Linked DNA regions of Notamacropus eugenii. The protein of the gene in region 2 purifies or fractionates together with the protein of the main gene of each other region. This does not show direct contact. Links are inferred from orthologs where the notes say so. Each region holds a gene or a part of one and is shown on either strand. Other genes may lie near its edges.

Region 1 (16,455 bases), on a different chromosome or scaffold from region 2:
GGCCCTTATTAGTTCTTCTTGTCTTCCAGCTTCTTGAACCAGTATTACTCGAGTTTCAATCTGAGGCATTTCTTCTGTTAAAGGGTAAAAAATAAGTCATTATGCACATCAGAAATGAATAGTGATACTAATGGTTCCCTTCCCTTCCATGGTGTCATTCCATATGTCTTCAGTTCACTCAAGGAGCAGATTAGCACCCTCTAAAATGTCCTGTAGCAATTAAGTTTTAATTAATTGGGAGGCAACGACAGGTGGAACTACCAAATATCACTTCAGAGGACAGGGAAAATATTACAAGATATAATTTGGGATTTAAAAATGTGACAATAACAAAACAGAATACACATGTGCAGAAAAGTTACAAATACACTAGAGCTACTCTCAATCAGTGACTAGCCTGTTCAGTGAATACTGACATAGAATTTCAGTCACTCATCTTCAAAATTATTTTACTGACTGTCTCCCATGCCTGGAATTCTCTCTCCTTGCTTCCCTGGCTCCTTTAAGTCTCAGCTAGAATTCTACCTTTTATAGGAACATCTAGTCTCTCATATTTTCCTTCTATTGATTATCTCCAATTGATCTTGTCTACACCTTGTTGGTAGAGTGGTTTCATGCTGTCTCTCCCTCTAGATTATTATCTTCTTGAAAGCAGGGACTGTTGCTTTGAGTTTTGGGTGGTTTGTTTTGCTCTTTGCCTTTCTTTGTATCCCCAGCACTTAACATAGTACCTGGCTGCTAGTAGGTTTGTTCACCAACTGATCTGAGATATCTATTCCAACCAGTGTCTGAACAAGAATTCCCTCTCATCAAATGTCATCAAGGCAGTGAAAAGGTCCAATGACATAGACTCCATTAACAGTCTCTCTAGACAGTCAATTATTTTATATACCTCTAATTATATAGAAGCCTAAATCTGTTTCTGCAACCCCCTTTTTTCTACATGACACGTTTGACATGGTTTCTGTTATCATGTTACGTTTTTCCCCCCCAAGCTAAATATCGCCATTTCCTCTAGTCAATCCTCATATGGTAAGGTCTTGCAGCTATTCACCATCCTGGTTGCCCCATTCTTGATAATCTCCAGTCTATCAATATCCTTCCTAAAAATGTGGTACCCAGAACTGAATACAACACTCCAGATGTGGTCTGACGAGGGAAAGGTATAGGAATACCATCAACTTCTTAGAGTTACCCATCATAACCCTCTTAAAGTAGACCGAGATGAAATTGGTTTTTTGTACAGTTTCACTTTAGATCATTTGGGAAATCCATTTGGAAAAAAAGTTAAAGGTAAAAGTTAACAGAAGACCAGGTATATCTACTTTATGCTCTACTGAATTTAAGTACTTTGTTACAACAAAGGCTTACTGTACCCAGACATAAACATAAATTCGAAGTGCCTTCTGTGCCATTTATTTTCCTAAAACATGGTCAGAGTCAATAAACATTTACTGATAAGATACCCATATTTGGTGGTTCTTTTAAAGAGCACAAACAGTTTCCACAGACAGTTTGCTTGTTAAAGCAGAAACACAAAATATCTTACTTGGAAGAAACCTCAGCAGCCATTTAGTCCAATTCACATGAGAAAGTGAACCCTCAATACCTCCTAACCCAACAAGTACCTACGCAGCCAAAGGGAGCAGCCACCACCTTCAAAGTTAGGTTTCATTCCCCTTTTTTTATTTTTAAAATTATTCAGCTTTGAAAACATTTAAAAACATGAAATTTTTTTGATAATTACCATCAGCATCTGAAGTGGATCCAATAAGCTCATTTTCTTTAGAAATTTCAGGAACTTTAGAATCAAAAATGGAGGTATCTGCCAAGAGACTCTTCCCAGCAGTAGATACTAATATACTATTGTCAGCCATCATTGATTCTTCTCAACTTTTCTACCTAAAAGTTCAAAAGAAATTTAAATTCAGAATAGCAACATTATTTTTAAATTATTTTTATCCAGTCAAGTTTAAGCATTGTTTTAGGATAAATTTGCTTTTACCCACAATTTCTTAAAAAGAAATCATTTAATTACTTCTTAAGCATCTTCAATGTCTATCAGTATAAAATGTAGTCCGATGTATACAGTTACAGAATTAATATTGAGATTCATTGTATTCCTTACTAATATTCAATATAAAAGCATCAGAAGTAAAAATACATAACGAAGTTCAAGAAAAAGTCAAGAATCTTAAAGATGTTTCCTTTATAACCCAATATATAATACTGAAGATAATACATAAACACAAACACTCATCACTGCATTCTCCCATTCTCGATATATAATTTCATTCCCAATAATCTAAAGTGCTGACAGAAAAAATACTCCAGCCACTCTTCTTCCTGATGCAAGTGTATGAACAGAGGGCTGGTCTTAGGGCCAGGAAGCCCTGGGTTTAAGTCCTTCTTAAAACATACTAGCTGTGAGACCCTGGGCAAGTCATTTAACCTCACAACACCTTGATGAACTCTCTTAGGCCATCAATTGCTGAGAAGATGTTGCAGCCAGTGAAATCACAAATTCAGTTCTTATGTGCTCAGTTTCAGGCATTATATGGAGGATGTAAAATTAGGTGATTTCCATGATCACAGATTTAGACCTGAAAATCACCTCAAAGGTCCTATATAGTCCAGGTCCCTCCCTTTACAGAGAAGGAAGTGAAGGAGTAAACAGGAATAACTAATCCCTTAGCAATAACTAGAAGAGGCAAAACTGAGACTAGTCTTCTGACTCCAAACCCAGTGCTCTCTCCATTAGACCACACTGTTATCCAGTCTGGAGAGCCTGCACACTGTCCCTGGAAGTTAATTATCAGACAAGAAAAAACCAAGAGTGTCCAGCCGTCCACCAAAGTGGAACCTAGAAGAGCTTGTCAAATCATAAGCCATCTTCCTCCTGACCCCCCTCCCCACCTTGTGGAGGAAGAGGCAGGACAGTTGCACATGATGAAAAGGCTGATTTACCTTTGAGGTAGGGATACCACACCAAGAATCTAACTCTAGACTCAAATAATATCAAAACAAAGGTAGCTATATTGCTGATGGTAACTGTCTATGCTATGAGAAGGATCCTGAACATTCATCTACAAATGTACTTCAATTCACAAATGATCCCAAAATGATTTTCTAATTTCCTTTCTGCTAGGGTCTAAGACCAGATCTCTACTTTACAAGGTTAAACCTCAGAGGATTCTATACTGGACATGAATACAGGTTCCATTCAAGCTGGCTGCTTTCTTCACATTATAACAGTATTTTTCACTTTTAAAACAAGTATTCATTTAAATGAGTATCCCTCCCACCTCACAGAATCTCAGTAATGGATTGGTTTGAATGAACACCTATTTGAATAACAATTCCATCCACAACTCCAACCTAAAGCACCAAAAAGTATAGCAACTTCCCCAGGCTAACATAACTAGTACATATCAGAGTTGGCACTTGAATCCCATGGCTGTCTTGAGCCCTGTTGTCTCTATACTCCTCTTAGTGACCTCACCTACTATGGGTTCAATTATCTCTATGCAGGTGATAAACATCCCTTGACCATGTTCAGATCTCTAAAAATACAACTACTATCCTGGTTTGAGTCCTCATCTGTCACCTTTCACCTGAACTACTGTAATAACCTAATCCAGCCATTTTCAAACTTTTTGGTCCTTTTATACTCTTAAGCATTATTGAGGATTCCAAAGAGGATTACGTGGGTTAAATGTATTCATATTTACTGATAAAAATGTTAGAAATTAAAACTCATAAATTTTTAAAATATTTACTAATTTATTTTAAAAAACAGGAAAATCACTAAATGTTAATAATATTTTTCATGAAAAATAACTATATGTTCCCAAAAAATTAGTGATAAAAGTGGGACTGTTTTAATGATTTCTGCAAATCTCTTTAATGGCTGGCTTAATAGAAGACAGTTGGATTCTCATATCTATTTCTGCATTCAAACTCCTATTACAATTTCTGGTTGCAGTATATGAAGAAATCTGACCTCACACAGATATGTAATTAGAAAAGGGATGTGTATTTTAAAAGGCAAATAACATCTCAGGTATTACTAGGAAAATAGTTTTGACCTTGCAGGTCCAGATCCAGGAACCACAATTTGGGAACCACTGGTCTGTCTTCCTTTCCCCAATCCATTCCCTAGAGCTGCCAAAGCCTAGGTCTAACTACTCAGTAAACTCCAATGTCTCCCCATTTTCTCTCTGATAAAATACAACCGCTTTGCTTAGCATTGGCTCAGACCAACAACCCCTCTTCCAGGCAAACTCCCTGGTCCATCCAAATTGGCTTGTCACTGTTCTTCACACAGGGCATTACAATGACCATGTGGGTGCTTCTGTACTGGCTGAACCCATGGCACTCCTTTCTCACTTCCACCTCTGAAATTTCTGAGTTTCGTTTGAAGACAAACTCAAGTGCCATGTACCACAGAACAATTCCTGGATTCCCCTACTCTACTGAATTGTTAGTGCACCCCCTTCCCAAAGTTCCTTCCATTTATTTTGTATGTTTTCTATATGTATTACCATGTATATTTTCTCTCCCTTTGGAACATAAGCTTCTTGAGGGCAGATGCTCTCACTTATCTTTTGTATTCCCTATATCTTAGTGCCTGGTACACAGTAGGTGCTTCACAATTGCTTGCTGATTGATAGTATCCCCTCAATAGACTGTGACCCCCTGGAGGACACAGACCATTTCATATTTGCCTTTAAATTGACAGGGGCAAACAATAAATTCTCTTCTGACTGATCTGAATCAAAGATCTTTTCTCAGTCACAATTCTACTTGAAAACTTTAAGATACAGATTTTTTTCTCTTCAGATGAAGCCGGAAATCCTGCTGCTAGGAGAAACATTTAGCCATGTCTCCTGAAATGGTTTGAAAGAGGACAAGTTTGCACAGGTTGGTGCTTGGCATCAGTCTGCAAACAGTCTATTTCTAGGACAATATGAGTTGAAGAGAGAGAAGGGGGTGGGGTTGAACAAAACAGAAAATAGCATTCCAAGTGAGTTACAATAAGGTCTTCTTTAGACTTAGCGGTCTCATTCTATTCAAAAGTGAATTCTATGTGAGTACTACAAATTCTCATTTTTCCCGGTTTGCATACTATTGCTATCCTCATTTTTAATACCTAATTACAATTCCTAATAATTTAGAAATAGTGTCTAAGTTTTTCCCAAAAAGCACTCAGATAATTGTTAAGATATCAAATGTAACAAAAACACTTGTTTCCTGATGGTCTTTATTTGGTATGAGACTTATTCAAACATGTATTAAGCATCTGTGCACAGTTTTATGCTTATTATATAAAATCATAAGTTCTAACAGTAACTTTGACTCAGCTAAGGATCAGGTGTATGATAAACCTAAAAAAAAAACCTTCACGATGACAGAAACCATCAAATCATTCCAATATATGTGAAAGGAACTCTTAAAGCCCCTGACTGAGGCTAGAACTTCCTAAGATGATAATGGGCAATCTACATCTACAAACTACATTTACTGGACTCTCACTACAGAATTTTTAGTGGAGCTCTAAGGTAAACAGACTCTAAGGTCAGTTCAGAGAAATTTTTCTTGGGAAAATATCTTTGACCAACTTTTTAAAGCAACAGGGACCATTCAAATCATCTTGAACCCTTAGTTCATCTTCTCCCCTCCCCTCAGGTCTGCCCTCAATGCTGTTCGAAATTCCAGTAAAGGAAAAAAAATTGTTTGCTTTTTTTTTTTTAAGTTTTAGACATACTTTACATGGTGTCTCTTTAAAACTAATAAAGAAAAATGTAAACTTAAAAGGACGTGAAAAGAATTATCTTAAAACTAATGTTTCCCCAAGTGTACCCTACTCAATCAGCTCTTTCAAACTATTCCAAAGTCAGTTTCTGACTCAAGAATTTCCATGGAATTTCAGAGAAGTGATAGAACTATGATAATAAACAAGATCCAAAGATTCGTTGGAAAGTCGAGAATTGAAATAAACAAAAGTATCATTTGCCCTCATTCATTTAACAAATAATTTAAGTGTCTACTATGGCTGGCACAGAGCTAGGTATTTGGGATACAAAGAAAGAATATAGAGCTTCCTCAAGAAACTTACATAGTATTTAAAGTGGCAACAGTAACCTTTTGCTACTCCTCAAAATACATTTTGTAATTTACTTAGGTAAAGCTCCTATATGCAAGCCCCCCTCTAGCAAGTCTGATGAAAGATAAAAGGCTGCAAATCACTTTCTAAGTCAAACATAATTTGCTATTTTAAAAAAGCTCTCTTCTTTAGATTTCCTTTCAACAGAGGTCTTGAAATACCTTGAATTACCTTCCAGGCAGAAGGACTGAACTAGAATGCCTGGGCTAGCTGGTGACAGTGAGAGAATAATAACTGCAATCTGTCCTACTTCTGTTGCTTCTGGTTGGATTAGCTCAGGTCTGAGTGATCATAGTAATAACTTTTACCTTTCTACAGCGTTTTAAGATTTGTTACATTCTTTGGGACCTGGAAGGGCCGGAAGAGGCTGACAGTCCACCAGTTAGAACAAGAACATACTGTGCCACCCCAGCGATCATCCAAGCCTTTGCTTGGGAGGCAGTCCCTTTCATTTTGCGAAGAAGTTTTCCCTTACACTGCTCCTAGTTTTAGACAAGGCTAACCCTCCTCAGCCTTTCAAATGTTTGAAGGCAGTTAGAGTTCTCCCCCAAGTCCTCCAGGCTAAATATCCCCAGTTCCTTAGATTCTTTCTCCTGCAGCATCCCCTCCCTTTCCCTTTTCACTTGCTAGAGCTCATCAGCGTCCTGACTAATGAACACAACCTTCCAATGTCGTGGGTCGATGCCTTTTTGCAAAGGCAGGAGCTCTCAAGTCCCTTCCAGGTCCAAAGCTCCGACCCCAGTCCTGCCCAGGACAGCTCATTCCTGGCCCCCAGGCCTTGCTTAATGCGGCCCAAGGATGCAGCAGCTTTCACAATGAGCCTGACAGGGGTCCTGCAGAGAGTCCATCACCATTCACAGTCCAAGTGAGCAAACTAGGCACAAGGACCGAGGCTCTGAGAGGGCCCACAACCAGTAACTGTCTGGGCTGGGGCTGGGCTCGGTGGGAGATCTACAGCCAACTCCACCTCTCACCCGAGATCCAATCCTACGTTTATTAAGCGCTGACTCTGTGTGCAGTAGGCGCTTAATAAGTGCCTGCTGATTTTGCTTGATAGGAGGAAAATATTATCCTCCCTTTGTTTTTTCAAAGCAAGTGAACGGGTGTACAGGACAGGGAGGGAGGGGCTGAGTCGGCCCCACCCCCGGATCATTTCATGGAATGTCTATTCCTTCCTTCCCCTAGACTTGGGGGTGGGGGTGAGGGGGGCAGATTCCAGCCTCTGAGACGGGGACTTGGACCTGGAGGGAGATCCGGCCCAAGTCAGTGCGCACGGATTAAGCGCCTACTGTGTGCTAAGCGCCGTTTGCCAGTAGTGGAAACTGAGACCCAGGGAGGTGATGGGACTTACACCCCCAAGACCAGGGGAGTCTCTCCGCCTCCCTGGGCCTCAGTTTCCCCACCGCGGAAAAGGGGGATGGGGTGGTGGACATCAAGCCCGCCCCAACTCCAGCGCCTCACAAGACCCTCGAGCGGCAGGAGAGGGGCGCTGAGACCTTTTTACAAAAGGGGAGACCGAGGCCCAGCGGGGTTAAGGGTCAAGGATGGGCGCCTGACCCAGGGGGGAGAGGAGGGCGGCGCCCCAGCCCCGGCTTCTCCCGCGCCCGCACCAGCCGAGGCGGGAACGGGGGCGCAGAGCACGTCCTCCCCGAGCCCAGCCCCTGGACCCCTTGCCCCCCACAACCACCACCTCCTCACCCGCTGTCGCTGTCACCGCGAGTCTGGCCTCCACCGCCTCCAGACGCATCCGCCATTCCCCGCCGGCCGCGGCCGCCGCCAATTCAAAAGTGAGCGGCTCCTCCTAAGGGGCTCGCCCATTGGCCCAGGAGAGGCGCACGTGTTGTCAATTCACTTCCCATTGGTCCGAGAGACCGAGGCGGGCGAGCGGTCTCTGATTGGGCGCCATCGTTCCACCTGTTCCCTCCCTCCCTCCTTCCTTCGCTCCGCCGCCGTGGGTGCAGGCTGATTGGCTGGGCGTGCTTTTCAAATTGGCCAACGGCTCTGAACTTCAGGGGAACGGGGGGGGGGGGGGGGAGAAATGCCCGGATGTGGCCGCCCCCTGCCCCTGTAGCAGCAGGTGCGCCTGCCGCGGCGGAGGCTGCGGCCTCCCACATCCCACTTCCGGGAGTCCGCGGCCACGCTGGGGAGACCTGCGCAGGCGCAGAGGGCCGCCGTCCGGTACCGGCTCCTCTTGCGGGCCTCCTGCGGCTCAGTCCGAGCTTTCGGCCCTGGTCCGTTCCCCGAGAGTTGACGTCCGACTGCGCTCCCGCCGTGGCTCTCACGTCTCCTGTGTCGTGGGGTCCACAACCAGAGAAGACGTTCAGAACCAAGCGGGAGCGGGGGGAAGAGGGGGAGAACCTAGAACGTTAGAGCAGAGGGGACGTAAGAGAACTTGGGGCCACCCCGTCAGAGCCGCAGGAATGGGGGGGGAGGCCTGGAGAAGCCCCGGCTGCGCCCGCGGAGCGTGGGCCCGCCCGGGGGCGGCTCTGGGCTCGGGGCATCGCCGGGAGGACCGAGGTGACCTGCCCAGCCTGTCCGGAGGCGCGGAGCCAGCCCAAGTCCCGGGCAGAGGCGGTGACAGGCGGAGCCCCTGCGTGCTGGGGGACGGGTGCCCGAGCAGAGCCCCGGGTCACCCTGGCGGTGCCGTGGCCAGAGCCAGGGGGGTCTGGCAGGAGAAGCAGCGGTGCTGGGTTCTGGGGCGCCGGCGGGGAATCCCCTTGGGGCGCTCCTTGCCAGAGGTGGACAAGGACTCCTCACACGTGGACTGCCCCTCAGGCATCCTCCAGACCCACGTATCTCTTATCTGTGATTCTGGATCCGAGGAAATGTCAGGTTTGGGAGGGATATCCTGCTGTGGGCACCGAGTCCGCCTCGCTAAGCGCGGCTGCTGAGGCTTCCTCAGTGCCTTTGACGATCCAAAGACTTTCCCCTTGCCTTAAGATAATTGCCGGCACGTACATGGTGCTTACTGTGAGCCAGGCAGTGTGCTCGGTGCTTCACCATCATCCCTTGGACGTAGGTGTTCTTAACTCTGGCCATTTTACAACCGAAGTGTGGCAAACGCAGCCACTGAGTGTCTGACCAGGATTTGAACTCAGGCTTCTCTGAATCCAGTCACAGCACTATATACTGCAACACTTGGTCATCCAGAAGCATCGCCCTAATTCTAAAAGAATTAGATTTGGTGGGGTTTTTGTGTTTTTTAATAAGGCAGAATATGCAACCCTGGACCCTTTCACAGTTGTGTTTTGCATTTTATCTATGTCCCCAGTGCTTTGTACATAGTAGGCACATAAATACTTATTAGATTGGATGAAACTAAGTACTCTAGCTCAGTTCAACAAACAGGTAAGATTCATCCAGATCAATAGAGTACCCAATAAGGAAGAGCTAAGTGTCTGGACATGGCTGCTCCCAGCCTTAGGATGAGCTCAGTCACTAACTATAAACTACAAACCTTTCAGTGAAGTGAAAGACCAGGACTTACCAGGTGCCCTGCCACTGCCTCCTTAAGGCGTCTGAACTCTACCAAGCCTCCTAACCCAAACCCTCCATACCCCAAGCACTGACCTCCTGAGCCTTGCACCTGATCTCTTTTAGATAGGCTTTCTCTCACTCGGAGACATCAGACACTGTCTTGCTTTTTTTTTCCGTATTTGTGTTTCCGGTACTTTGTGCTAGTGCTCAGTAAAAGATCATTCATTCATTCATTCATTGATAGAAAGGTATAGCTTTCCCCTTGGAATCCACCCAAGGAAGGAACTAGGAAAAAAGAGCACCCCCTAGAAGAGATGGGATGCCCCCAAATCAGAATAGCAACTCCACCCCTGGATTCACACACCATTGCTAGAACATAATTTGCCATGTGCTTAGCTGCTTTCCCCAGTGGACTGGAAGTTCCTTAAGAATAAAGACTATTTTTTTTCTTTTTTTTGTCTCTCAGTGTCTCCTACATATAGTATGTGCTAAATAAATTAAAGTTTGAATTTAATGAATGTAGTTTTCATTATTTGCTTAGAAATAAAATATACCATTTATTAAGGGCCTAGTCTCTGTATTCTGTTCCCCTTCACCATGGCCACTCCAGAAAACTGTATCCAACTCCAGCTACAGTAAGCTGGGCTTCATTTGCCTGCCTGGTTTCACTCAGGGCTGCTATTTGGACGAGATACCTGTTGAGTTCTCTTGCAACAAGAGCAGTTCGTCTTTCAGGTCTACTGGATTTTGTGTTGTCTATAAGTGTGCCCATGTTCCATGTGCCAATGGTGAGTGGGATCATCTTTGCAGATGTTTTTGTACATTTTTTGTGTTTCGACGGCAGAATAGAATTCCCCACCTGCCATGGTAATCAGGCCAGTGTTGGGTTAGCAGATAATTTTTAGGGCACCTTTTCTAGCCCTCTTCCTCACATTAGGAGGTGAGCAGTTCGATTCTTAAAAGGCTGCTCACACACCCAGGGGACCACCAAGTCCCACTGCTCCTTTCAGTGAGAAACGACCCTATGGCTTGGGCTGCCTGTGTGCACAATCTCTACAGAAATTCTGTAGAGATTTAACAAGATCCAATCTTACTTCCTAATTAAGAGAGTCAACCAGAGCCACACAGCTAATAAGTGAGATTTGAGCCCACATCTTCCTGATTCCAAAAGCTGTGACCTATCTACTATGCCCAGGGTAGGGAATCTGAGGGTCAAGGCCACATATGCCCCTCTAGGTCCTCAAGTGCAGCCCTTTGACTGAATCCAAACTGCACAGAACAAATCTCCTTAATAAAAGTATTTGTTCTGAAAAATTTGGACTCAGTCATAAAAGGCCATACCCAAGGACCTAGAATGCCACATGTGGCCTTGAGGCCATTGGTTCCCCATGCTATCAATGTACCATACCATCCTTCTGGTCATCCTTTACCAAGTGTTACTGTTTAAATGTTCATAGCTTTAAAGTTTGAAGGGACCTCAGAAATCATTTTGTCCAAACCCCTCATTTTATAGAGGAGTTTGCCTAGGAGCTTAAAAACCTAAGCTTCTTTGCCTAAAAGAAAGTAATGAATAAAAAAAGGAAATTGCTTTGCCATGCCCAGAATTTGCTGATTAAATTCGTCTTTCAAGCTAGTTGTAATAAGGTGGCTTTTTTTAACCTATCTGCTGTGTACAATTATCTTAAAACAGTGGAGCCTATTTTTATACACATCAACAGTCAATAATTAGGCTATGAATCATTGTTTCATTGAGGGAAATCATTAGGATATAAATCAATTTGTACAGCGTGATTAAATTGCACAAATCTAGCACTTAAAGTTGTATTTGGACAAATGGGATTAGTTTTCCTTGAAGTGGAAGGGAGGTTCTGCTTCTGTTGAATTATTGAGTTTGACAGTGAGTTCAAAGGACATTATTCTCATTTAATTCACAAAATTTTCAAAGCAAAAAGGATGTTGGGGATCATACAGACCAACCCCCTTCATTTTCCAGATAAGAAAAGTTAAGCCCAGATTGAGGAAGGGACTTGCCCACATCAAACTAGTTAGTGGCAGAGCAGGAAGGGGTTCAACTTCAAATGGAGCACCATCAACTCTGTTAATTGAATAGTTTATCAGCTAAATACAGCAATTTAACTGATGCTATTTATAAAAAGCACCAAGATTTTTACCATTGCTAAATGTGCATTCAGTTTTGTGGTTCAATTTTGTGTTCAGGAAGTAACCTTCCTGAAGTAACCTTAATTATGACATGACAGGTATAACACCATAAATATCTTTTATCCAAAGATAGGAACACATTACTGACTTTCTTGTATTCAGCCCATCTCATTATATATCATTTCTATAACTGGTTCACCCTAGATTTAAAGGATTAAAGTTTCCCCATTTCAGAAATCAGAGTAAGAGGTAGCTATAAGGCAGTTGCTAGAGATCCCAAAGACTCGTTTAATCTCTTAGTACCTTAGGCAATTCTCTGGCTGTAAATTACAGAGCAGGTATTGATCTGCACTGGGAGCGGAAGTTTCTTCACTAGGCATGAGTAAATCATAGGCTTTTTTAAAATGATTTATACATGCATGGAACATTGGGCTTTTCAAGAACTTTCCATAGTACTAAATGAGTTCAAAACTGAGATAAGCACAGATGCACAAATCTAAATGTAAAAGGATTAAATATCATAAAATTTATAGTCTTAGAGATGGAAAGGAGTTTATAGATCAAGTCAAAATACATCATTTTATAGATTAGGAAACTGAGGCACAGAGGTTAAGTGATTCATCTAGGTCACGTAGCTAGTGTCTGTGTGGCATTTGAACACAGGTCTTGATTACAATTCCAATGACCTATCCACTAGACTGTGCCAGCCTTCTGGTCATAAACACCTTTATCAGGTGTTACTATTTAGGTTATCATAGCTTTAGAACTTAAAGGGACCACAGAAGTTATTTTGTCAAAGCCTTTCATTTTGCAGAGGAAAAAAACTTGAGGCCCAGACAGAGTAAGGGACTTGCCAATGTCATGTAGGTAAGAAGGGACAGAAAATGGGACATCGAGGTGACATAGTGGATGGAGAACCAACCCTGGAGTCAGGAGGACGTGAGGTCAAATTTGACCTCAGATACTTACTAGCTGTGTGATCCTGTGTCATTTAACCCTGATAGCCTCCATGAAAAAAGAAAGTACCAGAACAAGGATGAACCCAGTCCTCAGACTCCAATTCCTCTCTTCTTCCATTGAACCATGCTGATAATGACTGTCCCTATGACAGTCTTTTTTTTTCCTCCAGAAGACTGTGGTGAGGTTCAACATGGCTACAGCTGAATCTGACTGAGCCGAGTTATTTGCTGTCTGCTTCCCTGTGATGTGGCCATGTAGTTATGCTATAGGAACCTAGAAATACTGCTCCGCAGGCTCACTTGTGAGTTTCTCAAGCTCTTAAGAATCAGACTATTAATGTCATGGTTGTGTGATGACTGAAGTTCATCATATCCTCTAAAATGCAGGAGAAACCTCATGTTAAAACTTTCCAGTGTCATGTGTTTTTTTTTCTCTCCAATGTCACCAGCTTCATATCAACACATTAGCGAACTATTTCTATTTGTCTAGGATATATATCTTATTAATATTAATTCTTAGAGATGAGTAGGTCAGGAGAGGAAATAGGATATGTGCATTGAGGGTGGTGGCAAATTATTTCAGTTTTAAGAATCAATATTTTAGGTAGAATTTTAGGTAGGGGAATTGTTTACTGGTGTCTCTGGACGGATTTAGTCATTTGAAGCAAATGGCTAAGCTTAAAACCAAGACTGTCACTTTTTCCTCAAAAGATAAAAGTATCTATCTGTCTGTCTATCTATCTACCTATCTACCTACCTATCTAATCTATCATCTACTTTTCTGTCTAATCTGTGACCTATCAATTAATCAATATACAATATAATGGACACTTGGTTCAGTAGGCTGTAAATAATCCTCTGTAGTATAAATGTATAAAAGTATAAATACACATGTGTAATTTCTATAAAATCTAGCACCAGAAGCCAATTTACTCAACTCAGCTTCAAAACAAAAAAATTCAAATAAGTGAAAATTTATATTGAATTGGCTGCTTGGTGTCCTATGACTAACCGAGGTTTGTTTTTTTCACTTTTCAACTGATTAAGTTGGTGCTTCTGTTGCTCAGTCGTGTCTTACTCTTCATGAGCCTGTGAACCATACTGTTCATGGGGTTTTTTTGCAAAGAGATACTGGAGTGGTTTGCCATTTCCTTCTCCAGTGGATTAAGGCAAACAGATTTTTAAGTGACTTGCCCAGAGTCACACAGCTAGTAAGTATCTGTGGTCTGATTTGAACTCAGGTCTTCCTGACTCCAGGCCCAGTGTTCTCTCCCCTGAGCATAGCAACACAGAAATAGCTTCATGTACAATGTGAATTCTATGTTATCAAATATTTTTTAGAGTTGAAAATGATGGAATCTGTTAAATTCCTTATTTCACACACAAGGAAACCTGTCCAAAGACATTGGGTGACTTTCCTCTGAGAACCCAACTAATTATTGGCAGAGCTTGAACTGAAACTGAAAACCCTTCACTTCTAGATTCAGCACATTGACTGGTCTGACAGCTCCCAGGAGACAAGGATCACATCCTTGTCCCTCCCCCAGTCCCTTCCTTCCTTCCTTACAGAACTTCACACAAAGGAGGTCATCAACAAACACTTGATTGAGGAATTGGTTGATTGACAAGATAATTTCATTCATAAACAGGGTACTGAGGCACCAAGATAGAGGCTATTGTGCTACAGTTGGAGACAAGAAAGGAAAGCCTGGATTCAAATCCTGCCTCTGATAGTTAACTAGTCATGTAACAACTTTTCTGAATCTCAATGTCCTCATTTGAAAATGGGAGTAATATCCGTAAGTCTCTACCTCACAGGGTGGTGGAAGTTCTCATGAGAGAGTAATTTATGTAGAAAGTGCTTTGCATACCTTAATATATATTCCATACAGTTCACATGTTAGGGAGACGATTGAGTCATAGTTTGATTAGCTTAACCACATGTGGATCTCCTTTTCCCTGATGGTCCAAACTGTGCAAGTGTGACCTAGAATCCTAAATGGCAAAGTCACCACCTGGCCCCACTATTGATCACGCTGACTTTCTGTCCCTCAGATTACATTGCATTTTCACAGGATTTACCGATGGAAGGGGACTTAGATTACTTAGTCCAATGACTTAATTTTAAAAATTAGGAAACAGGATCAGAGAAGGCAAGTAACATGCCTGGGGTTACACAGTTAATTGATAGCACTCAGTATTTGAACCTAGGCTTGATGACTACAGATGCAAAGCTCTTGCACGTCCCACTGGCTCTCAGGCCCTTCCCCATTTTCTCCAAGTGTTAATTTTTTTCCTAGTCATCTGTACTGCTTCATTTCATAGGTCTCCCAAATTTCTACCCTTCTCCCCTCCTATAAAAATTGTTGAGCTCCTGACCTCATGTAAATACAGCCCCAATGAAGGATCCCAGGGAATAACGATTGGATCCAAAAAAGGAGCCCTCAGTAGAGGAGCTCATGGTGCAGTGTACATGGAGTATGAGCCCAAGAGGTTTTAAGTGGCTCTTCAGGTTTGCTCACACATGTTCATTTAAGCCTGTTCCACCCTCTGGAGCCAGTTCTATTTATCTCCATTTTTATGGATGAGGAAAGTGAGATTCTGAGAGACCACTGGCCAGTGGTCACACTGCTAAGTGTGTGTTCGTCCTTTGTTGCCGTAGAAGACCATGCTATCAGAGAAGTGATAACATGACTTGCACTTGACTTTGTGTGAGGGAGGGCTGTGCAGGTCACCAGCCTTACTTCTCCTCCAGAGCCATCTGAATCCAGTGACCAAATATTCTTCAGGATAACTGGAGATGACCCAAGAAGAGGCAACTGGAGTTAACTGACTTGCCCAAGGTCACACAGCTAGTGAGTGTCAAGTGTCTGAGGTGAGATTTGAACTCAGGTCCTCCTGACTCCTGCACTGGTGCTCTATCCACTGTACCACCTAGCTGCCCCAACACTGCTAAGTAGGGTCAGAGGCAAGATAAGAACCTAGGTCTTCCTAACTTAAAGACCAATACTCTATCCACTACACCAAGCTGTTGAAAATCTAGAACTGATTTAACTATTGCAAAGAACCTAGAATCCAGAATTCAGAACAGGAAAAATGGGCCTCCCATGTTAGAAGCCCTCTTGCCAATAATTAACAGGGAACTCTGAAGAATACCTGCCTGAATCCACATCTAAACATTTCAGTCGTTTCTGAAAAATTATTCTTTTCTGTGGCACACAATGCCAATGAGGCAGCCTGAGTCTGACAGAAAGAGCCCTAGGTTGGGTTGCAGAAAGCCTGGATTCATATCCTGGCTTCTTGTCTCTGACCTCCAGCAAATTAGTTTTCTATGGGTCACAGTTTCTGTATCTTTAAACTGAGAAAATTGAACTAGGTATAGTACAGTGCAAAGAGCACTGCCTTTGGAGTCAGGGTACTGGGTTCCAGCCTGGACTCTGATGCCTACTACCCATGTGACCTTAGTTGGACAACTCCCTTTACCTCCCTGGACCTCAGTTTCCTCATCTGTAAAAGAAGGAAGTTGGAAATGATGACCCCTGAAGTCCCATCTATGATCCTATGATCTCTACAGTCCTAAATTTTATGATATTCCTAATACAGTCAATACAATAAAATGAAATTTGTATTTTATTTACAAAGTATGCCCTATGTTTCAAAAAAAAAAGAGTTAAGGAGAATAATTTTATGTTA
Region 2 (16,622 bases):
GCAAGTCATCAGATGAAAAGGACTTCTAATTCAACACATTTCAATTATGCTGAAATGACTGGCCAATAAATACCAAGACCTTGGATGAGATTCCAGTAGAAAAAATGGTTGACTCTGGAGCTGAAAAGTATTGTGCACTAAAGCACTGGCTCCAAAATACAAGGGATCTGGCCCTGGCTCTCAGTAGGTAGTTTATGGCCAAGTTCTAAGACCCAGGATTCCCCATCTAGAAAATGGAGTTAATGCCTAACAGGGATGCTAAAGACGTTTTAGAAAATTAACATTGCTTGCTGAAATTCTGTTGGTTTCTTTATTGTAGGTCACAGTCACCAGCTATTTCATGTGTGTGTCATCTTGGGAACACACTTACAGATGGAAGCCATATTTCTGGACATGACATTGAGAAAAGAGTGGCTTCTAGCTACTTCAATACCTCCCTCTTTCGCTCAGACAGCTGGGGCAATATGTCTGTGTGTCATCTTCAGCTTCATTAACATTGCTTATTTCTCAATTGCTCTGTATCAGACTCCAGAGCCAGAATTACAAAAAAAGGAAACATGATCCAGCCTATAAGCTTTTCTAAATATGTAGAATAATCTGATTCTGTTTTAACTATGTTACCACTGAAAAGTGGCACAATACTTCTCATAAAATGCTATGATATTCATATTGGATTTGTGAATCAGCTTTTGTGAGTAAGCTGGTGTGGGAGAGTATTTAAGTGGGGGAAATGTCTCAATTTGCACTGATTTTCTATGTAATATGTTAAAGACGGAGAGAAGTTAGAACGTGTCTCTGTAAGAACAGATAAATAATATTTTATGAAGTTTAAATTTATTTTGATCAACTTTTCAACTTGTACTACATGTTAAGGGCTAAGCATATCATTAATTTGCCTTTACACTACAGTTTTTGAAGAATCGCTTTACTTTACAGTGAGATTCACATTGAGTATCATCCATCAACAATTCCATTAACTTCCATGCTTCCAGTCCTTCTAAAAGAGAGATGAAGGTAAAAAAAAACCATTGGGAAGATGCAGAAAAAGAGAAAGAAAAGAGAACTAGATATTGTAGGGATTGAGGGGGGAATGAAACCTGGAGAACATTGAAAGACTCCATTCCCTTCTCCATTGGTTAACTATCTTTCTTCTCTCTGCTAGGGAAATGGATGCAGAGTGTTCTTTTTCCCTGCATTCCATCTGGTATTCAAAGTAGCAGGTCCTATCTAATATACTTGGTGAGCAGATCTGGATTTTAGAAGTATATTCTTAGAATCCTCTACAAATGGCTTACTATTGTAGCCTATGAAGTGTTTTCCTATTGCCAATGGGATGCAGGAATACAAGATTTAATGGATATGCAGTATTTAAAATAATGAACTTTTGGTGACCAAATATTAAACTGTGATTGTTGTTTTTTTCCACTGAATCAAATAATCATATATATATGTATATATGTACACACACATATGTACATATTCCATAGACTTTTAGAAAGTCAGAGTTGGGAGGTGCCTTAGAAAAATCATCTAGTCTAAACCTCTCATTTTATAGATGAGGAAACTGAGATCTAAATAAAGTGTTTGATATTGAACCCCAAATCATAAGTTCAGTTGTTCCTAGGTCTGTTTAATTTCTCTAACAGGTTACACAAATAGTCTTTGTTTTCTTGTCTGGTCTCTTTTCTTTTTTTCCCCTTCCCTTCACTGCCACTTCATTTTAAGACCAGGGCTTAGAGAGATAGGGCAAAATTCTCCATGAGGAAACAAATATTCAAGCATGTACTTCCTCACCTAGAGGAAAAAGCTTGAATTTAGATTCAAACACTGGAATAGGTAAGCCACAGTGGCCTTGTAGGTTAACATCTTCCTAGCAGCTCAACATGTGTAGGAAGTTTTTTGGTTGTCACAGAACCAAGATTTAAAATCTCACTGGGTGCTCCATGGAGACGTTAACACTATTGCCATTTCACATTTATATATTGCTTTTAACTTTTCAAAGTGCCTTTGAATTTATTAATTTCCTGGGGATTCGCTGGATATTCTCCCCATGTGAAAGATAAGAAAACCGAGGCTCAAGGAATTGGAGGAAGGGCAGTGTTACTTAGTCAGCAATAAATTCTGTTTGCCTCAGAATTGCCTTATTTAGACGCACCTTAAGGGAATGTGATGGAAATTATGCCTATTGTTTCTCCAAAGGTGCTGTCACCAAGGGGAGAAGGGCAACAACTAGGGAAGGATAAAGAGTTTTGATGTGAAAATCATAGGAAGGGAGAAGGATTATTTTCAATAAAAAAAGGATCTTCCTCTTTCCTATGTTGAATATTGCCTCAGTTTTAAATATACTGCAGGGATTAGTGTTAGTGTGCCAAGAATGCTAAAGGCCAAAGAAAGAGAATGTAAGATATGCCAAAGAATACATGAAAATCTGCCCATAGGGAACATCTTCAGCATTCATCAGTTTAGTATTCAATATCTCAGTTCATAAGGATTTTCCCATCTTGGTTCAGACGGTTTCCACTTCTAAACAGGATTAAAACTCTTTGTATTCATTATTTGTTTCAATACAATGCTTTCATAGGACTAGGGTTAAGTGTCTGCAGAAAGTATAGAAATTGTGAGACAATAAATTTATAATGGACCCACTTATAAACTCTCCTCTTTCAGATCATATTAGAGTATAATTTTTTCTCATTCATGAATACCCTAAATATTTCATTTGAAATGAAACTGATCAAGATCCTAGAATAATCGTGTACTCATTCAGGTAATAATTTATTATAGATGCATAATCAAGAAATATAATTTCATGATATTATCAGTTTACTTCCTGTGGATAGAGTAGACTGGCAAAATAAAATTATGTAGGTCGTACTCTTTGGTACTTTATAGTAGTCTGCACTGAAGGATGAGCTATTGGAATATTCTTACATTAGAGATATTAGACCTTTATTGGCTTAGCTCACTCTTACTGTAATCTTAAATCTGTGGTGAATATGTTCAGTGATACAAATTTTAAATGCTTTTTTCTATTTATGCAAAAGACATCATGGTGATGACTGCAATGTTATTTTTATTATGTATGGTTGCACAGTGATGACAATTTGCTCAAGAATTGGATCAGAAATGATTAATGAGGACTATTAGGTTTTTATGGGGTAGATGTGAGTTATCTTTCAACTTGCATGTGACAGAATAAATTGTTAAAATCGACAGAATAAATAACCAATTTTTTCAAAACTTTCTACGTTTGGGTATATTATATCTTGGTAGAGGTATAATGCATAAGATTTTTTCATAAAGTTTATGGTCAAAGATACAAAATGACTTATAAGACATGAATTTTAGAAATTTTCTTCTAAAGTAAACTAAGAATTATTTACAAGTTCAAGAAATATCACTTACATTTCCTTAGGGATAAGAACTGGACCTTTGGGCTCAGTGATATATATATAGTACTTACAGATGAGGGAACTTTCTACAAATAAAGTTCAGTTCCTTCTCTGTAACTTATCAACAGACTTGCCTACAGTTAGAGCTTTGAAAGGTTAAGTGACTAGTCTTGGATCACCTAGAACTTCTTGATTTTGGGGGCCAGCTCTATATTTATTTACTCTACCACAACGCCCTGCCCCATCCTCTCTCCTCTCTCCTTTCCCATCCCCCTCTCTCTATGGAGAGAGGTAGAGGGGATACAGATATAATAAGCAGTATCATATAAAATGATATGCAGTTATGTCTTAGTACCATTAGAAAGCTGAAGGAATGGCAAGCAGTTTACTGATACACCCAATAGGAGTATATCTTGTTATCCTCAATTTTCCTAACATTGCAATTAAGGTAGATTATGTTTGGAAGAAGTCATTTATGTTCAGATCATACTGATCACTTTTAATCAGTACCTGAGAAAAGGCTGTAACTCCTTAAGTAGCTATGCAATGTCTCTTTTCTGAATAAATGAACTGATGCTTACTGATAACAATATAATGATAATTTGGAGAACCTTAAATGACTGTGGCTATAAAATTGATATGAATAACGTTTGGTCTACTGATTAGACCACAAACATGAACTAGTTGAATGTTGGTTTCTTGCCAGAGATCCATTATGGATGAAAAGATAAGGTCAACTGAGCCCCCTTTCTAAATAAGAGATGTTTTTCAAATTGTGCTCCCTGTATAGATTTCTTGTTTCTAAAAACATGTAAAATAAAATTTATTTATTATAACAATTCATTTTCCCCATGATTTTGGTCATTTTTTTTTATCACTTCATAAATACACATTTATTTAAGAAGGTTGATGACAGATAGTTCACTCATGTTGGTTAAGAGGGTTTTCCTTTTAGAAATACAGTATCAGAGGTTTTCCTAGATAGAAAAAACATGTCAATACAGCCTTACTCTGTCAGTCTGAGGTGAATTTGGATAAGCTTTATTTAGCTACTTAATTTGTCTATTAGCTCAATTTAGGCACACGTGCCACTGTTGCAGTCTGAAATGGCCATCCATCTTCTATATATCAAACATATTTTCCCTTTGTGTAAACCTTGTTTAGACATATCTACTCCATTAAGACTCTAATGTTCACTTCAGATCAAATAATGGTCAGGAAGTACAAGAAATGACTGTAATTCTTTCAACCTCAAATGGCATAAGAGGTCAGCTAGAAGCCCAAGGGCAATAGGTAAGACAGGCCACCAGCTAAGTCAGCATCTGCTAGTGCCACTAGAGATGGACCTGGGACAGTGTTTCCCAGGAATGCTGTCTAGAGGCAGTATGAGCAGAATCTCCCCCTGTAAAGCCTCAGGGTGGTCAGAAAAGCCTCAGGATAGGAAGCTGGGAACCAGAAGGCATCACTACAACAGAGACCAGAACACCCCAGGCCCAGGGGGCTCAGAGGCTTCTAACACTCTGTTCTGAGATGCTACAGAAGGTCCTGAAAATCCAACGCTCAGAACCTTAAAGATCAGGAGTTCTTAACCTTAGAAGTGGTTACCAGTAGAATGCAGATGACCGAGGATAAGCCCAAAACCATTGCACACAAAAGCACATTAGAGACTGTCACTGTCCTAATTCAAGAGCTAAAGCTGGAGAAATAAGTAAATCAAAGAAAGGAGAAATCAATATCAAAAATTATTGTAAATCTAGAGATTCCCCCAAATGAAAAAACATGTAACTATAACAGCTGCAAGCAGAGGCACCAAGGAAAAGAAATGGATTTTGAAGGAAAACATAAAAAGTGAAATAAAATCTCTCCTGCAGGAAAGAATTGAAAAGGTATTAAATAACTTAGACGAGAATGTGGTAAACTTTATCTAAGAAATAGAAACTAGAATAAACCAAAAAAACCCCAAAAAACAAAAAACCAGTGACTCCATGAGATGGCAAAAATTATTATAACCAAATCAAAAAGGTAAAATACAAGATATTTGTTAATAAAAGCCTACTGACCTGGAAAATAGATCCAGGGGAGATAATTTATTTTTCTTTTTTAAAAAATTTAATTTTAGTTTTCAACATTCACTTTTAATAAGATTTTGAGTTCAATTTTTTCTCCCTCCCCTCCCCTCTCTGCTCCCCAAGATGGCATATAATCTAATATAGGCTAGAAGTGTACAATCATATTAAACATATTTCCACATTAGTCATGTTGTAAGGAAGAATCAGAACCAAAGGGAAAAACCACAAGAAAGAAAAAAACAAAAAAAGAGAGAGAATAGTATGCTTCATTCAGACTCTATAGTTCTTTCTCTGGATGAAGGGGAGGTAATTTTAAAATTACTGGATTTAATGAAAACCACAGTTTTTTTATAAAAGCTTATACACTATAATTTATTATTTTTTAAGTAAAGAGACTTAATTTTTTTTAGTTCTGAATTCTCTCCCTCCTTTTTCCCCCTCCCTCACCCAATGAGAAAGCATGAAAAACAAAACTTATTACAAATATACGTAGTCATGCATGACAAAACTGCATATTAGCCATGCCCTCTTCCCCTCTAAAAAAGCAAGAAAAAAATGCACTCTGAGTCCATCAGCGCTCTCTCTGCAGGTGAATAGCATGCGTCCTTTGGAATTGTGGTAGGTCACTGTGGTGCTCACGTCGTTGTTCTCCTGGCATTGCTTACTTCATTTTGCAGCAGTTCATAAAGGTTTTAAAATCATTTCTTTCATCCTGTCTTACAGCACAATAGTATTTGTCACATTCGTATACCATAACTTGTTTAGCCATGCCCAATGGGGATCCCTTAAGTTTCTTTGCTACCTTAAGATTCTTTGCTACCACTAAAAATTTATTTTTGTACATATGGATCTTTTTCCTCTTTCTTTGCTCTTTTTGGTGGATAGCCTGGAAGAGAAGTGAGGCTGGTGAGCTGCACAGCCCTCCCTCACTCAAAACAAAGTCAAGTGCTAGTCATGTCATCATTCCTCTGAGGGTATGGTCCTCTTCGGCATTGAAGGACGAACACAATCCTGTGAGTAGATGCAGCTGGCTGAATAGGGACCCAGCTAGCTGGGTAACTCAGCTTCCCTTCCCATCTTTTCCGTTTCCAAAACCTTAAATCTACTACACTCTGAAGCTAGGATGACAATGAGCCCCTGCCCAAGGGCTCTTCTGGACCCTCCTTAGCTTTAGAGTGATTACCAATAGTAATTGTTGCTGTTTCCCACCCACCCTGATGTCTTTGTTTTTCTTGACCTTATTAAAGGGGCCATGACCTGGCTACTTCTTAAACAGGACTATTCAATGAATGGGCGTTACCTCACCCTAAGTGAGTGCCTGCAAAGACCTTGGCCTAAAGGGCCCAAGGTCACCTAGTGCATCCTTGGTCATCTCCAGTCATCCTGAGAAATATCTGGTCACTGGATCCAGATGGCTCTGGAGGATAAGTGGCTGGTGACCTTGCACAGCCCTCCCTCACTCAAAACAAAGTCAAGTACAACTCATGTCATCATTTCTCTGATGGCATGGTTTTCTTCAGCAATGAAGGACAAATACAACACAAGGTGAATAGCCTTAATAGTTGTACCTTTGCTGGGGCAAAGGATATGCAGTTCAATAGCCTTTTAGGCACAATTCCCAATTGCTGTCCAGAATGGTTAGACTGATTTACAATTCTACCAATTGCATTAGTATACTTGTTTTTCCCTTATGTTATTTTCTTTTTTGTCATCTTAGCCAATATGATGCATATGAGATGGTACCTCAGAGTTGTCTTAATCTGCATATCTCTATTGGTGATTTACAGCATTGTTTCATATGGCAATTGATGGCTTTGGTTTCTTCCTTTGAAAACTGCCTATTCATATCTGTTGATCATTTATCAGTTGGGGAATGGTTCCTATTATTGCACATTTGCCTCAGTTCCCTATACATTTTAGAAATGAGATCTTTGTCAGAAAAACTTATGGCAAATAATTTCTCCAGTTTCTTGTTCTTCTTACAATTTTAGCTGCACTGGTTTTGTTTGGGCAAAATCTTTTAAATTTTAGATAATCAAAATTATTCATTTTACCTCCTGAAAACCCTTGTATTCCTTCCCTTATCCATAGATGTGACAGGAAAGTTTCCCTCTGATACACTAATTTTTTTATGCTAGCACTTTTTATTTCTAAATCATGAGCTCATCTTTGAGCTTATGATGGTATATGGTATGAGATGTTAGTCTATGCTAGTTTCTGCTAGATTTCTTTCCTGTTCTCCCAGCAGTTTTTGTCAAATAGAGCTCTTGTTCCCTGTAACTGGGATCTCTGGGTTTATCAAACACAATGTTACTGTGTTCATTTTCTTTTGTATATTAGATACCTAATCTGTTTCACCGATCAATCTATTTCTTATTGAGTACCCAACTTTTCTGACAATTACAGCTTTGCAATACAGTTGACATCTGGTACTCTTAGTCCCCCTTCCTTACCTTTTTTTTTCATGGATTCCCTTGATATTCTTAACCTTTTATTCCTTCATATGAATTTTGTTATTTTTTTCTAGTTCTATAAAGTAATTCTTTGATTATTATGGAATTGAATAAGTAATATTGCCATTTTTATTATATTGGCTCAGTCTATTCAATTAATTTTTCTCTGATCTGTCTTTGTCGGAAAAGAGTTTCAAAACTGTGTTCATATAGTTCCTATGTATGTTTTGGCAGGTAGACTCCCAAATATTATAGTGTCTGTTGTTATTTTAATAAAATTTCTCTATCTCTTCCTGCAGGATTTTGTTGGTAATACACAGAAATGCTGACGATTTGTGTGGTTTTATTTTGTATCCTGAAACTTTGCTGAAATTGTTCATTGTTTTGACTACTTTTTAAGGTGACTCCAGGTTTCTCTAGGTAAACCATCATATTATGTACAAAAAATGACAGTTTTGTTTCCTCATTGCCTATGCTTATTTCTTCAATTCTGGACATTATACTTTAAAGAATTATAAATGAAAATTGCCCAGATCTGTTACAACTAGGGGACATAATAAAGACAGAACCTACTAATCATCTTCTGAAAGAAACCCCAAAAGTGAAAGTCTCAGGAATGTCACAGTCAAAATCCAAAAGCTCCCAGATCAAAGAAAAAAAATATGAACTACAGTCAGGATCACATAAGACCTGGTAGCTTTTACTACAAATAGGAGGGATCTTGGAATACAATGTTCCAAAAGGCAAATAATCTGGGTTTACAACCAAGAATAAATTACTTGGTAAATCTGAGTATAATCCTACAAAGAAAAAAAAAGTGAACCTGCAATGGAACAGAAGACTTTCAAGTATTTCTGATTAAAAAGATCAGAGTAAGCAGATTAATAACTTTGAAATATTAACAGTCTAGAGAAACCTGGAAATGTAAGTTTATTTGAAAGGAATTGAACAATGTTATTAACATGGAAAGACAAAACGAGTGTCCCTTTATAACCTTAATCTTTTTAAAGAGTGTGAGGGAGTAAAACGGTGATGAATATGGGTAGGGGGTAGGGCATAACATGGATTTGCTCTGAGGGTTGGAAGGAAAGAAAGAGTAAAAGCAGAATATTACTAATGTGAAAAGGAGGAAGAAGGGCATGAAACCACTATCATAACTGGGGAATAAGAAAAGAGCAACATTGTAACAACAGAGTAACAACATTGTAAAGAAAAGCACCGTTGAAAGACTTAAGCCTGATCAAAGCCAAGATCAACCACATCTCCAAAGGGTCTATGAAGAAACTTTGTTTTCCACTTCAGGACAGGGGTGATGAACCAGCACAAGGGTGGCAAAAAGAGACATAGAATTTTGCTGGCGTACCGAGTTAATTGATTTTGCTTGGTTATGTTGATTGTTGCAAAGGTTTCTTCACCACCTTGCTGAAGACTCCTCCCTCTACACCTCTATTATCGTAATAGCCGGCGGGTGGGCTCTCCCCACTCCAGTTCATCCTCCCTTCTACGGTCAGAGGGATTTTCTTAAAACGCAAGTCTGACCGTGTCACCTCCAGATCACTTCGAAGACAAATACATAAAATCGCCCGGCATCTGGAGCTCTTCATAATATGCTCCCCCCCAGTCTCTCTCTTTCTTTCTCAATAACGAATAACCTGACGCTACCAGGCTGCTTTCCTGGTCTCCAGAAACTCATCATCCTGAAATCCTCTGAGAGACGCAGACAGACAGACAGAATTACCTGCAGCCCTCTCGAGGCTCTGGCTGCCCCCAGGCCTATCACGCTCACGTCCCAGCCTCCCCAAGGCCCCGCTTCTGCTTGTCCTGTCTCTACCACGTCTGTCTACAGCGGATGGCACGCTGCCCACCGGCAGCCTGGGAGCTCCTGGCTTTCGCTTTCCCTGGCACTCGGGAATCGTCCAGCGCTGGACACTGGCTCGGAGGGAGGATGGCGGAGGGGACGGACACGTGAGGGGAGATGAGGAAGGCCGCAGCGTAGCCTCACACCGCTCAGTACGTAGGCAGACAAGACCCGCCACCCAGGGCGTTTGGGATTGCGGGGCGCGAGTACCAGAAGTCGGGTCACTGTTTTCCTTCCGGAAGGGAAGTTTGCCCCTCAGCTGTTGGTTTCCTTGGAAACGAGTCCCACTTCCGTCCTCGAGGGGGGACGCTTCCCGCCCGAAGCCACACTCTTTGCCCCGCCCCGGAGCACGTGGGGGGCGCCGTGGACGCTGATTGGTCCGTTTGAAATGCGCCGGGGGCGCGCGCCCGCCCGGTCCGGTTTGCCTCGCTGGGCGAGGGTGAAGAGAGCGACCGTTCGGCTTGTGCGTCAGGGAGCTCTCGGGGACCCGAGCGCGGCGACAGAGACCCCCCAGCCTTCCCGCCAGCTGGCCCCGAGCTCTCTCCGCCGCCTGCCGCCGATAGAGCGCCCGCTGCGGCCATGAAGCCAGCGTGAGTGTCCGCGTCGGGATAGCGCGACTTGGCCGCTGGGCTGGGGGAGGGGAGGGGAGGGGGCTCCCGGGGGCAGGGGTCGGGCCCCGGGGCGAGACCCCCCTCTTTTCGCCCCGGAACGGCGATCCCCGCGAGTGCCATCGCCCGGGCTCCCGCCGGGAGCACAGCCTGGGGAAGGGAAGGCGAAGCCTTGGGGTGCGTGGGGCAGCCCCCCTCCTTCCTCGGGGCTAGGAATGGGATGCGTCCCTCCTCCGCTCCCTTGTCTCCAGACCTGACCTGGCGTCCTCCTGGACTCCGAAGGCCTTCCCCATGCTTGCCCCGCCCCTTCCCACTGTCCCCAAACTTTCTTCAGGCAAACTTAGCAGAGGAGGTAACGGAGGCCGGCTGCCCTGCCCCCCTCCCCTCTCCCGGTCCGGTTCCGCGCCCTTGTGAGAAGGGGAGGCCAGGCCACCCATTTTTATTCATATCTTTTGTTTTTACTTCACCTTGGATTTCTTAAGTGAAGTCATCCCTGTGAGTCATCTGCCCCTCTTTTAAAAAGGGGGAGAGGGAAGCAGCAGTAAAACCACCCATACATTAACTTTTTCTGATAAGACTTAGTGCTGTGGGAAACTGCTACGATTTGGGGGACACCGTGTTATTTCACACTGGTAGTTCCCGTCTATCACTCCTTTACCCCCTTACCCTCTCCCTCCCTCAACCCCCTCCTGCCCCTGGCAAAGAGACTTCAGCCTTTTTTTTTTTTTTTTTTAAATTTAGAGGTCCTTGGAGGGAGGGTATTGTATGTAGGTCTTTTTTGTTCTGGTCTTAAAAAGGATAACCCTGGTATTGCTTAGAGATGTAGACTGGTGCAATGAAGGAAGAACTGGACCTGTATTTTAAGACCTGTCTCTGCCAGATACTGTATGACCTTGGACAAGACAGAGCCTCTGTACACCTTAGGTTTCACCATCTGTAAAAGGGTAACAGCTACCACTCCTGCTTCACAGTGTTGGCTCTGAGAAAAGCCTTTAAAATGCTAAATATGGGCTATTATTGAGTACTGTTAGATGATGTACTGTCATTTAATTGTCTGGGAATCAGAGTAGTAGAGAAGCTCATTTGTAGGGTGATTATTATCATTCTTTAACTGGAGCAACTCTGTAAACTCTTTACTAAGGGGTAAAAGGTTTGTGATCTGCATCTGTAGAATTAGCTCCCACACCATTAAAATCACAGATTCTTGAAGATAGAAACGTCAAGTCCTACCTCTGACACTGAATGAGCTGTGTGACCATATTATTTAAGGGGAGGAAATGTGACAGGTACTGTGTTAAACACTTTGCAAATATTATTTGCAATATATTTCAAATATTATCTCTGTATCTCTGTATAGAAATGCAGCTCTATGTGTAACTCTCTATAACTAATTATAATTTATATATGAGCTGCTCATGAAGGAGAGTGGCCACTTTCCTAATTAGTAGATTGCTATTGATGAACTCACAGTTCTAGACCAAGAGATAGAAACTATAGACGTAGTGAAATGCATTGAAAATACATGGAAGTAAAAAAGAAAACCTGTTAACAAGTAAGAAATTTATGGTTTAGGGCATAGGTATCTGAATAGGAAGCATAACTTTTTGTAGGAAGGAAATAATGGTGTTTGGTCTGAGCATTCATTCACCCATTAATCTCCCTCTATTTTACCTATTGCCATCAGACTTCTTCCTACCACTTTACTGAAACTGCACACCATTGTCCAATTATTTGCAAAATTCAGTGTTTTTAAAAGTCATTCTTCCTTACTGACCTCTCTGCAGCTTTTGATTGTTGACCAGATGCTTCTATTGGTAACTTTCTTGTTGGTTTCTCATATCCATCCTTGACTCTTTGCTTTGGAAATTCTTAAGTGTCTGTCCTTGGCTCCTTTCAATCAAAAAGAATTCATTAAGAACCTACTATTCCCATACATTGGAGATACTGGTACAAAGAATGAAACAATTCTTACTCACAGGGTACTTATAGTCTCAAAGTGAAACAAGTATATATAGAATCAAGATGGAGAATATATACAAATTGGTTAAATATAAGGTTAAATATATAAATTATATAAATATAATGAGATTAAGAAAGGAGGGAGATTCTGTGAGGCAGAGATGACTGAGGATACTCCATAAGTGAGGGATAGAATACAAAGGACAAAGATAGAATAGGAATTGTCATTTGAGGAACAGAGAGAAGGCTTGCTTAGTTGTGTCCTGGAGTTCAGGAGAGGAAGTAAAGTCCACTGAGACTGGAAAGATGAATTGGGATCAGGTTTCTACTAGGGGCTTTAAAGTTTATGAGTGCTCCTAAAAGAAATTGATTTGTGCTTGTCCTTCATGCTCAAAGAGGACTAAAATGACGTTACCATGTCTGGGTCAGGGTGCAGTATGTCTGACAGTGGCTGATCAGACCAGTAGGAGCTCAGAAGCTCTACCACAGTCAGGCACAAATAGTCCACATGAACATTGCACATCTCATGTTCCTTTTGAGCTGCTGTAATTTTGCTGTGCTTTATGAGCACAGCATCTTCTTGGGTGTGAGCGTGCCATGCTTGACAATCCTGTACAGTGTCTCCCATGTCTCATAATAGATTCCTTTGTTCTTCAGAGAGACCTTGAGAGTACCTTGTATCTTTTCTTCTGACCTCTGTGTGAGGATTTGCCTTGTGTAAGTTCTCCAAAAAATAGTCTTTTAGGCAAACTTAAATTTTTGAACAGTGTGACCAGCCCATTGGAGTTGCATTCTGTGCAATAGAGTTTGAATGCTTGGCAATTCAGCTTGAGAAAGAACCTCAGTGTCCCATACCTTATTTTGCCAGAGTGGTCTTCAGAATCTTCCTAAGACAGTTCAGATTCAGTTTTCTTGAAGAAATTGGGAGCCCCTGGAGTTGGAATAAGAAAGTTATAATTTTGTCAGCAGTTTACAGGGTAGATTGGAATGGGAAGAGATTTAAGGCAGGAAAACCAAGTGATGTAGGCAAGAGATGATAAGAGCCTGAACTAAGTTTGGAGCTTTGTGAGTAGACAGAAGTGGTCAGATTCCAAGACTCAAGGAGGCAGGAATTGCTAAATTGGGTAACTGTTGAATATGTGGGGGGAAGGAAAGTAAGGAATTGAGAATAGTGCCGTCTACCTTGTTTCCCATATATAGAATCTTGTTTTTTACTTTTCTCACTTTTTACTTCTAATCCACTATTAAATCACGTTAGTTCTGCCTCTTTGACATCTCTCATGTCTTTATTCCTTTTGCCCCGACTCTTATCCTACTGCCCTGGCAGCTACATGATGCAGTGAGTAGCATGTAGGGGCTAGATTCAGGGAGACTCATCTTCCTGAATTCACATCTGGTCTCATACACTTACTAGCCATGTAACCTTGGACAAGTCACTTAACCCTGTTTGTCTCAGTTTCCTCATCTATAAAATGAGCTGGAGAAGGGAATGGCAAAGCACTCCAGTATCTTTGCCAAAAAAAAAAAAACCCATATGAGGTCATGAAGAGTCAGACACACAACTGAAAAATAACTGAACAACAAAATCCTACGACTCACCTAGACTATTGCAGTGGTCTTCTTAAAAGTCTTTCTGCCTGCACTTTCCTTCCTCCAACCCAATCATAGCCAAGAATAACTTTTCCAATAACTTTTTACTTGTTCCTTATTGCTTAGTAAACAAAGATGTTTTCTTTGCTTGGCATTCAAGGGCTGCCACAGTCCAGTGCCACCTTACTTTTTTAGCGTTGTCCCATATTGCTTCTTTCTGTGTGCTCAGTTCCCTCTTTCCTGGGTACCCACCTACATTCTCCTGCTGTGTTCATTCTATTCCCTACTCTAGGAATGACCTACCCCCTCCTTACCTGTGGATTTCTTCCCATCTTTTAAAAAACCAACTCTGATGTCACTTCCTCCATGAACATCTTTGAGAACTGCTCTTCCCTTCTGCTTTAATAACATTATTTCCTTTGGAAATACTTTGTTTCATAAGTCTCATGTACTTAGTTGTAACATTCTATATGATAATTTTGTTTTGATATTTTATCTCTACTAGACTATATGCTTCATGAGGGACAGAGACTTTGTTTTGTATGAACTTTGTATTTTGGTGATAAGCACAGGAATTTGCATATAGGAGGGACCTAAGTATATGTTGAATGTTAAATTTAGTGAGCACCTTTTGCATGTATGGTATTTTGTTAGTTACTGTGGGAGGCACAAAGATGAATTAGATGAATTTTTTCCTCTCAAGGAAAGAAAATGTAGGGGAGGTAGAACATACATATAGGCAACTGTGCAATAAAATATGATCCATGCGTAGGAGAGGTACAAGAATCAGTGGGATTTGGAGGAAGGAGACCTTGATTTTTCACTACAGAGACTGATCAGGAGTGGCTTCATGACAGAGGTGTCAAAGGGGGTTTTGAAGAATGACTCTGATTTCAACACATAGTCATGAAAAAAATCAGGTTTTTTTCTTGAAACATCATTTCTTTGGTTAAAAATTAATTATCCATTTTCTGTGGAGTTTTTTTTTTCCCTGGACATTGACTTGTTGGATTGATAACATTAGACTTAGTTTTCCTGTTCTTTGAGGCTTTTTTCAGATGAGAGTAAACAACGTTCACCTTCAGTTCTTAGTTATATGTACATTTTCATTTGGATTATTCTCTGCAAATTTTATGTTAACCACAAGCAAATAAGAAAGCTAATTTTAATATGAACTTATGAGTCTAGTTTTTTAAAACTTCTTTTAGAGTCAGTAGTAATGGTTAACATACATTCCATTCATTAAGCACCTACTGTGTGCTAGGCATTGTGCTAATCACTGGGAGTACAAACAAGAAAAAGAAAGACAGTCCCTACTCTCAAGGAGCTTACAATCCAAGGAAAGAAGACCACACAGAGAAGGAAGCTGAGAAGTGTGTATGAGTGAGTGTGCTAGAAAGGGGTGAAGAGATGCACCAGGAGGCATTAAGTTTTTTTTAAAGTTTTATTCCGTTTGAACTTGGGGGAAAAAACATTTCTAAGTACACAGCACAATATAATGAGAGGATTCAATATAAAATCATAAATTTTCATTTTGTACTGTTTACTTTTGTTGGAAAAAACTACGTAGTACTCAGAGTGGAGTTGAAACCTAGCAGAGCGATAAAAAATGGAGTCACCTGGAAAGTTCTGAGCCTTCTCCAAAGCTCCAGTTCTCCAATCAGAGGGGAAAGGGATCTTAGGGGATTAAGAAGGTGTTGAGTGTCAAAAACTGAATTAGTCTACATGATGGTGAGATTTCAGGTGATTAGGTTATCCCAAGAGAGGCAAGAGATTCCATAGAATTGAAACCATACAGAGCTACTGATGATCTTGACAGTGATAGTGCCTTGTTAATATTCCATTATGTATGGATTGAAGAATGAAAGTTTATTATCACTGTATATTCTTTTATTATTATTATCATTATTAATAATAAGGAAGATTGTATAAAAATAGGAAAATTAAAGGGAAGAATTTGTTTTTGTATGCTAACTTTGCACTAAGATTTTGATTTCTTTTATGACCAGGAAAAGTAAAACTCCTAGGAAGCCAATTCTAAAGAAAGGAACCCAATCAAGTCTCAAAGATCCAGTTGGGGTAAGGTCGCCTTATCTAATTTCTTTTAACTGCTCTTTTATGCTGTATTTTACTACTTAAAAGAGTAAGAAAAAAAATGTGCAAACAAATTAATTGAAGTAGGGTTTCTGTGGCCAAAGAATTCATCATTTTGTGGCCAACCTGTTGTTAATGAGTCTTAGATACTCTGGCTCTTAGGTAGCAGATGCGGTTTGTCTCTGGGTATTCTGAGCCCTTTATTTTTGTAGAACATGCCAGTGCTTGTGTTCTGTTGGTATGGACTTTTAGAACCCAGGGTTTTAACTATGCTGTGATCATATGTAGTATAGTGAAAAGGGGACTACATTTGGAGTCAGGAAAGGTCTGGGTTTGAATCCTCTTCAGTAATTTAGTAGAAGTGCAACTGTGAGCACATTGTTTTATTCTCTGTTTCTCAGATTTCTCTATCTGTAAAATGAGATTACTGTTGCCTATAGTACCTGCATCACTGAGTGGTCATGATCAAATGCAATCGTGTAAGTAAAGGCATTAGGTGGAAACCTCACTTAGTCTGTTTGTGGTCAAGGAAAAAGAAGGGATGGGAGAGGATATAAGAATTGACTGCAGAGTCCTAATTATTAATTAACCATATTTCC

The links.
Region 1: the proteins of KIF23 (region 2) and ECT2 purify together in Homo sapiens (co-immunoprecipitation; 3 studies listed by BioGRID and IntAct, with this or other methods). This does not show direct contact. The link is inferred for Notamacropus eugenii from reciprocal best matches to the Homo sapiens genes KIF23 and ECT2.

Annotation. Positions count from the first base shown.
Region 1 is NC_092877.1:351,525,784-351,542,238, forward strand, and holds the start of ECT2 (protein ECT2), read right to left. Parts: upstream 8,012-16,455; 5' UTR 7,865-8,011; intron 1,903-7,864; 5' UTR 1,881-1,902; coding exon 1,748-1,880; intron 75-1,747; coding exon 1-74. UniProt on the Homo sapiens protein: Guanine nucleotide exchange factor (GEF) that catalyzes the exchange of GDP for GTP. Promotes guanine nucleotide exchange on the Rho family members of small GTPases, like RHOA, RHOC, RAC1 and CDC42.
Region 2 is NC_092872.1:132,834,798-132,851,419, forward strand, and holds the start of KIF23 (kinesin-like protein KIF23), read left to right. Parts: upstream 1-10,237; 5' UTR 10,238-10,351; coding exon 10,352-10,362; exon of another isoform or gene 10,363-10,363; intron 10,364-15,938; coding exon 15,939-16,008; intron 16,009-16,622. Other genes in the region: PAQR5 (membrane progestin receptor gamma), read left to right, coding at 320-561.